Linked DNA regions of Macaca mulatta. The protein of the gene in region 1 binds, or shares a complex with, the protein of each later gene. Links are inferred from orthologs where the notes say so. Each region holds a gene or a part of one and is shown in the gene's direction. Other genes may lie near its edges.

Evidence for each region.
Region 2: the proteins of INHBA (region 1) and FST are in contact, whole or in part, in a crystal structure (PDB 2P6A), measured with the Homo sapiens proteins. The link is inferred for Macaca mulatta from reciprocal best matches to the Homo sapiens genes INHBA and FST. Residues at the interface, in NP_002183.1 of Homo sapiens: Asp315, Phe327, Asp337, Trp338, Ile340, Ala341, Gly344, Tyr345, His346, Gly360, Thr361, Gly363, Phe368, Thr371, Arg397, Ser400, Leu402, Tyr404, Asp405, Asp406, Gly407, Gln408, Asn409, Ile410, Ile411, Lys412; in NP_037541.1 of Homo sapiens: Trp33, Arg35, Val44, Leu45, Arg60, Phe76, Met79, Asp135, Glu152, Pro154, Glu155, Val180, Val181, Asp182, Gln183, Tyr188, Val190, Arg221, Thr224, Cys225, Arg229, Ser230, Ile231, Gly232, Leu233, Glu328.

Annotation. Positions count from the first base shown.
Region 1 is NC_133408.1:86,728,484-86,732,834, forward strand, and holds the start of INHBA (inhibin beta A chain), read left to right. Parts: upstream 1-1,325; 5' UTR 1,326-1,549; intron 1,550-1,847; exon of another isoform or gene 1,848-1,855; 5' UTR 1,856-2,052; intron 2,053-4,140; exon of another isoform or gene 4,141-4,351. UniProt on the Homo sapiens protein: Inhibins/activins are involved in regulating a number of diverse functions such as hypothalamic and pituitary hormone secretion, gonadal hormone secretion, germ cell development and maturation, erythroid differentiation, insulin secretion, nerve cell survival, embryonic axial development or bone growth, depending on their subunit composition.
Region 2 is NC_133411.1:61,277,234-61,279,966, forward strand, and holds part of FST (follistatin), read left to right. Parts: intron 1-125; coding exon 126-317; intron 318-750; coding exon 751-969; intron 970-1,316; coding exon 1,317-1,541; intron 1,542-2,218; coding exon 2,219-2,449; intron 2,450-2,733. UniProt on the Homo sapiens protein: Multifunctional regulatory protein whose primary function is to antagonize members of the transforming growth factor beta (TGF-beta) superfamily including activin, myostatin, GDF11 or bone morphogenetic proteins (BMPs).

The DNA of each region.
Region 1 (4,351 bases):
GTCATTTGCCCAGCAGTTTGAAAATGGTGAATCCTAAATTTGAACCCAGGCAGTCTGACTGTAGGACCCATACATTCAACCACTACCTTTTACCTCATCTTCAAATGGTATTTTTCATACTTCAGAGCACTGAGGTGCCTGTGCCCTTGGTCACCGGGAGGCCATACTTGCTGCACCCGTCTGGACCATCAGGGTCTTCCCCAGTCAGAGGCCACTGCCAGGGCCAGAGACAATGGAGAATTATTTAGTTTCCTACAGTTCTAGAAACTGCCTCTGTTTCAAGCCCAGGAAGAAGGCGTTCTGAGGAGGACATTTCTTCTTGGGACAAGGACCCTTGGTGAGATTTGGCCTTTATGCACCTCCATCTGAAAAGCTAAGCTTCTCTCTGGGAATTCGAATTGAAGGTTAGGGATGATTGCTCAGATGGGGAAAGTGTGAAATGGTAATCACTTTCATATGACACTCGAGAAATGTTATAATAAAGCTGAGTAAATTGGAGCATGAGTTAGCCGGTCCTTTGCCTAATGATGTCACCCACTTTGTGCTTCCTCCAGCCTATGATTAATAAAAGAGGGGTTATGACAGTAACTCACTCCTAGTGGGCAGCAGTGACGTCAGCAGCAGCTGAGCAAACTGACTACATTTAGTTGTGCGTGTGTATGTGGGCATTTTTTTTTCCTGTGACTAACATGAAGCTAACAGCATCTAATAAAACAAAAGCTCCTTGAAATTTGGGAAACTTATTGGGTGAACTCTTTTCTACAGGGAGCACCATTTTAATTATTCTCAGCTCATAGTTAAGTGATGTTGGAGTTGGCCAAAATTACCTTGTTGGCTTTCTGCCCCTGTTTCATTAAGGGATCACAAATGAACCCCTGGCCTTTGGGAGAGAGGTTTCTGGAGTGTTTTTTTCCTTCTACTATAGAGGCTCCTCCCTCATTCATTACACTCTTCCATCTTTTAAGAGGAACTCAATGAGTAGAAGAGGGATTGTAGCCATAAGTTATTTTTTGAGAGTTTAAAGCTGGTTGTAGAATTCAGTGATTCCATTTTAAACTCTAAGAATATTGTGCTTAATTACAGTTTGCTTTTCCAATCTGATAAAGTGACAAAAGTCCTACTTACTATTTCACCTTTGCGAACTTGACCTTCCTAAAATTAGAGTGGGCCACCTGGAAATATTTGCTCACCTAGCTGAGCTGCTGCCAGTGTCCACGCGAGCCCGCAGGACTCGTGAACAGCGGCACTCAGACCATGCCTTGGAGCTGCTCCCACAGAGGGCAGAACCTTTGGACTCTATTAGGACACGAGGGAGGCAGCAATTCACTGATTTAAAAAAAAATTCACACAGGACTGCCCCCAGGCTTTTCTGTGGGGCTTTTTTCCCTCCAAGCAGTGATTTGGGAACAGGCTGTGGGGGGATCTTTGTGGACAGGCAAAACTGGATGCAAAGCAAGATTGCTGCCCTCTTATCAGTCCAATGGAATCTACGTGCTAAACCACCATGTCTTCAAGTCAGCAATGGAACTTATTACCCAAGGGGATCCAGGTGAGAAAAATGATTACAACAATCTGTTCCGTGTTCCTTGGGGAGTATTTTTCAACAATCTTCTGGGGCAATAGGAAGATAAATTGTTGAAGCAGATGTTTCCTGATTGGGTTAGAACTGAGTCATGATAAACAATTTTGAAATATATATTGGTCAGGAAGAATGTTGAGGGCATATTTCTTCAGGTTGAGTTAGTCTGGGTTTTCTTCAATATATGTTTTTCTATAGTGGTTGTAAACGAGTATTTCTCTCAATATTGAATTTTTTTACATGTACCACTTGGTTACTTCTTGGGAAGAACTCCAGGCATTTCTGAATCATTTGAAAGTTGATTGAGGCCTTTGGTTCCAAAATGACCATTTACCTGAGGAGATGGTGATTCACAAGTTGGAAGAGATGACACGGCGTCAGAGTGTCTAAGACATTCCCCTCATAGCTCCCTTCATCTTAAAATGATCTCTGACCTACCCTTTCCTTTCTGGAGGACCCAAGTCACTCAGGAGGTAAGTGATGAACCAGGGAAGTAAGCCCTCACTGTCTGGACAACAGGATTTCAGTTCTAAGCTAGTTTCATCCAGGCAACTTCCTTTTTGTGCATTTCACCAATACTTGTTGATTACTCTTACGATTTTCCATGAGGTGGAATCCTTCACAATAGTTTCCCCAGTCCTCACAGGAGAGCAACACCTGGAAGGGCTGGAAGGGCATGGCCTTCCTTCAACAGCCACACCACTTCCTTTTACAAAGGAAGTTTGGAGAATATAATGTTGCTTGCAACAGCCATTAGGATTTAGCAAAACACTGTTTTATCTCTTTGGATATTGATTGTATGTCATTCCCCTAAGGTATTAAACAAATAAAATCAAGCTACAACATATTCGTTTGCTCTAGGAGAAAGGCAGGGTAATCTTACTTTTGTGAATTTTACTTCAGGGAATTCTCTCTTGCATGGATTTATCTGATACTGAATTGCTAAAATGAACAACTCAATCCTTTATTCATTTATTCTTTTGCATGAGTCTCTTGTCTCCTAACAACTTGGGTGTAGGCCAGCCCATCTCATTTTGTTGCTGGCCACCAAGATTCTGCTTTGGTTTAGAACAAAAAGCCAGCAGGAAAATGTATTGAGGCCATACATGAAAGTTGGTTGGAGCAACAATGTTGCCCAAGAGGAGCATTGTAGCTGTAGTCTCCAGTAATCAGAGAACATAAGATGCAAGAGGCAGCAGAATCACTTGAATTATTAGTATTTTGTAGAGTTGCAATGTTTTTCTTGGTTCCCAAGGCCTCTTGGAGATGGATAGGGAGAAGGTTGAGTGAACTTTACAATTATAACATGAAATCAGGGTATCTCAACTGCAGAACAATTAACACTGTAGGCCAGATAATTTCTTGTTGTTGGGGGCTGTCCTGTGCATGGTAGGATATTCAGCAGCATCCCTGGCCCCTACCCACTAATGATCAGTAGAACCTCCCTCCCAGCTGTAACAACCAAAATGTCTTCAAACATGGCCAGATGTCCCCCAGGGAGCAAAATCGCCCCAGTTGAGAACCACTGCTGTAGAATGAAGAGTAATAGGTTACTTGCTGGGTTTTTTTCCTTCTTCTCTTTTCCGCAGTTGTTTTAGTTCTAGTATCTGGGTTCCCTTGCTTCAGAAAACAGCATTTCCAAATACTCTAAAAACAGAGTATCCCACTGTTTTTGTGGAATATCCCACGAAGCAGAAGGCCTTGTGGGATATTCCAGTGGTTCTGAAAGAAATGTGAAGCTTAGGAGTCAAGTTTCAGATTAACCATTTCTGACCCTGTTGTTCTCAATGAATTTCAGGGGACTTTTTAATGTTTCCCTCTCTCTCTCTGTTTAGAGCTATTCATTCATTGACTTAACTTGAAAGCAAAACAGCTTCCCAGTTCAATTTTGAATGTGAAACACTGCTTCTCCTTTGTCCCAACTCTTTCTACCTAACATTCAGCCCAAGTTATGTACAGGCTGTGGCTGTCCAGGAAACAGGCCGTGTTTGCCAATCCCATGTTCAATGTCAACCATTTGATGAGACCCTTCTTCATCACAGACTCTGGCAGTCTCCCTGCAGCAGATAGTACTCTGGATCCTGACCACATTCTCTGGATTCTGAGCTGCCTCTTGAGGGAGTCACCCCTCACCAAGAAGGCCAGGTTTTCCGGCCTGAGCCCCAGAATAACACATTAGCTGCTGGGAACACCTTTTGATTTCTCTCCATAGTCACGTTTTATGTTTGGTTTCCCAGACGGGATGAACCAGAAATCATGCGTTTTTGGAAACAGATTTTTTCATAGGAAGGAACGAAAACACCCGGACTCGTCAGCACTCTTGTCCATGCCTCTGAACCCCCAGCCTTGTGTCATTTCAGTTGAATCAGAGAACAACATCCCAGTCACCTGCTTGGGGTGTTCACGTCTCCTGGCTTATATTTTTGACTGAATAACAGCAATCCGTGAGCAGCAGCTAAAATAATAGAGCCCTGAAAAATGTCCCCACCCACCCCCCCGCTCCGCTTTTCTGGGCCTGTCTCCTTGCTCAAGGAGTAGTGAGGAAAGACACCAATTAATAGCGTGGATGAAAGCTGAAGGACAGACGGTTTGCTTGAGAAGAAAAGTGAACATTCTTGCTTCCTCATCTATGCCAACTTTGAACAGGGACAGCTGCTGCCACAGGTAAACACCACTATAGGGTTGGCCATGGCCCTAAGCTAGGTGTCACCGCAAGCCACAGGCCGGCACACGAACGCTGGCCTCTCCCCCATTCGCACAATTGAGCTCTTA
Region 2 (2,733 bases), on another chromosome or scaffold:
CTCACCCCCTCCCCATCCCCGCCAGGTCTCCTTCGCTCGCCACCTCGCCACCTCGCTCTCCCTGCCTTGCTACCGCTCACCGCTCACTGCTCACTCACCCACCTCCCCACCCCGTCTCTTCACAGCTGGGAACTGCTGGCTCCGTCAAGCGAAGAACGGCCGCTGCCAGGTCCTGTACAAGACCGAACTGAGCAAGGAGGAGTGCTGCAGCACCGGCCGTCTGAGCACCTCATGGACCGAGGAGGACGTGAATGACAACACACTCTTCAAGTGGATGATTTTCAACGGGGGAGCCCCCAACTGCATCCCCTGTAAAGGTAGGACTCCTTCTTCCCGACTTCCAGGCCCTCAGTAGAGGGCGTCTTACCCTTAGCTTCCCCACTACCTGACTGGGGTTTGGGAGTAGGAGAGCTTTGTTCGTGGGCTTCCCCTTTCTGTCCCTTGCCCTGGTAAGCCGTGCAGACTCGAATTCTGCCTGTTACAGGCTGTAGGTAAAACACCCCAGACTTCTTAGCCAAGTGTGGTGGTGAAGCCCACCAACCTGTGCCCCTTGATGAGAGAAATCTGGGTTTGGGGCACAACCGAAGGTCCGCACTCTTTCATCAACTCCCAATCTTCTAGGAGAGAGCCTGGGGCCCCTCCAGCGCAAACTCAGGGCTGCATGATTGCGCAAGGCACCCGAAGCCCTCCTGGCTGACCTGCAGACTGCCTGGCTCTGGTTTTTAATCCATGCCTGTTTCCAACTCACAGAAACGTGTGAGAACGTGGACTGTGGACCTGGGAAAAAATGCCGAATGAACAAGAAGAACAAACCCCGCTGCGTCTGCGCCCCGGATTGTTCCAACATCACCTGGAAGGGTCCAGTCTGCGGGCTGGACGGGAAAACCTACCGCAATGAATGTGCACTCCTAAAGGCAAGATGTAAAGAGCAGCCAGAACTGGAAGTCCAGTACCAAGGCAGATGTAAAAGTAGGTCCTACCCTGTTGAGCAAGACTGGATCTGTCCCCTCCTCCAGCTTTGTACCTAAAGTAGACCCTCTAGGAGACCTCTGGGGGATGGTGTAGTCCACAGTAAGAGCCTGATAATAATAATACTGAAACCAAAAAGGAGTCCTTTTCTAACTTCTAGAGACTCATTAAGAACACTGAGGGGACCAACCTAGAGTCATAGATTCTCTCTTGGAAACTACAGGGCTCCCAAAATTGCCTTTTGAAAGCTGGATGCTTCAGTGTCATGATTGCCTTGGTAACTTCAAGTGCTCGCTCCCTAAGCACTAGAAGGTACCTATTCATGTGTGTTTCCTTCTTTGTTCCAGAGACTTGTCGGGATGTTTTCTGTCCAGGCAGCTCCACATGTGTGGTGGACCAGACCAATAATGCCTACTGTGTGACCTGTAATCGGATTTGCCCAGAGCCCACTTCCTCTGAGCAATATCTCTGTGGGAATGATGGAGTCACCTACTCCAGTGCCTGCCACCTGAGAAAGGCTACCTGCCTGCTGGGCAGATCTATTGGATTAGCCTATGAGGGAAAGTGTATCAGTAGGTATTCCGGATTGAGGAAGGAAAAAGAGAAAACAGGCTAGTTCTAGTATTAAACTGTGGGGTTAACAAATAAGTAAGCCCAAGGCATCCCAAAACACCATAGGGAGAAATATGCTGCAATTTGGGCTCTGTTATGACCACAGCATTCCTCATGGAAACCGTTGTCTTCTGGAGGCATTGACACATATATTCAAATGCCAGCAGGAAGCAAGAAACAGTATTCCATCTTAGAAAACTTAGAACTCACTCAATTTTACACATTTTTTTAAGTGCCAGACTTGCTGGAAGCGAAAAATAATTACTTAGCAGTTCCAGAAATCTGTTATCAGATTCTAGTAATTAATGGAATTCTTTCATTTGTAAAAGATCCCACTTGTGGGAAATAATAAGATACATATTTAACTCAAGAATATTGTAAAATCCTGTTCTAAAAAAATACTATTTTAATGCACTAATGTAGTATGTAAGAAACTGCAGAGGTTTTGTGTGTGTGTATGTGTGTATGCATTTGAGTTTCAGTTTTATTATCCAGCATTTTTGCTTAATATCTCCATTATCCCCATTAGTAATAAGATATAAATTATGTTTATATTTATTGATAGAGGACTAGAGAAAGGGAGAAAAGGGGGATATGGGGAAATCAGTTTACTCATCACAGATGTATTATATCCTAGAAGCAAAGTCCTGTGAAGATATCCAGTGCACTGGTGGGAAAAAATGTTTATGGGATTTCAAGGTTGGGAGAGGCCGGTGTTCCCTCTGTGATGAGCTGTGCCCTGACAGTAAGTCGGATGAGCCTGTCTGTGCCAGTGACAATGCCACTTATGCCAGTGAGTGTGCCATGAAGGAAGCTGCCTGCTCCTCAGGTGTGCTGCTGGAAGTAAAGCACTCCGGATCTTGCAACTGTAAGTGTGATTTTTAACCTTGCTGCCATTTAAGGCTTTCCCAGGCAATCCCTAGGGAATGGACACTTACAAAGCTCGCAGATCTCCCACATAAATTCATTTCTGTTCAAATTAGGAAGCTGCTAAGTATCACCAGCAATTCAATAATCCACAGAAAAATTCTCTGCAATGTTTCTTGGCTTTTAGGATTTATCCGGTGATCATCAATGGGGTTGCCTCTAAAAATCTATTTCCAGTTGTTTTCCCCTATTTCTTGTGCTTTGGTAGTATGCTTTGCTGTTTGC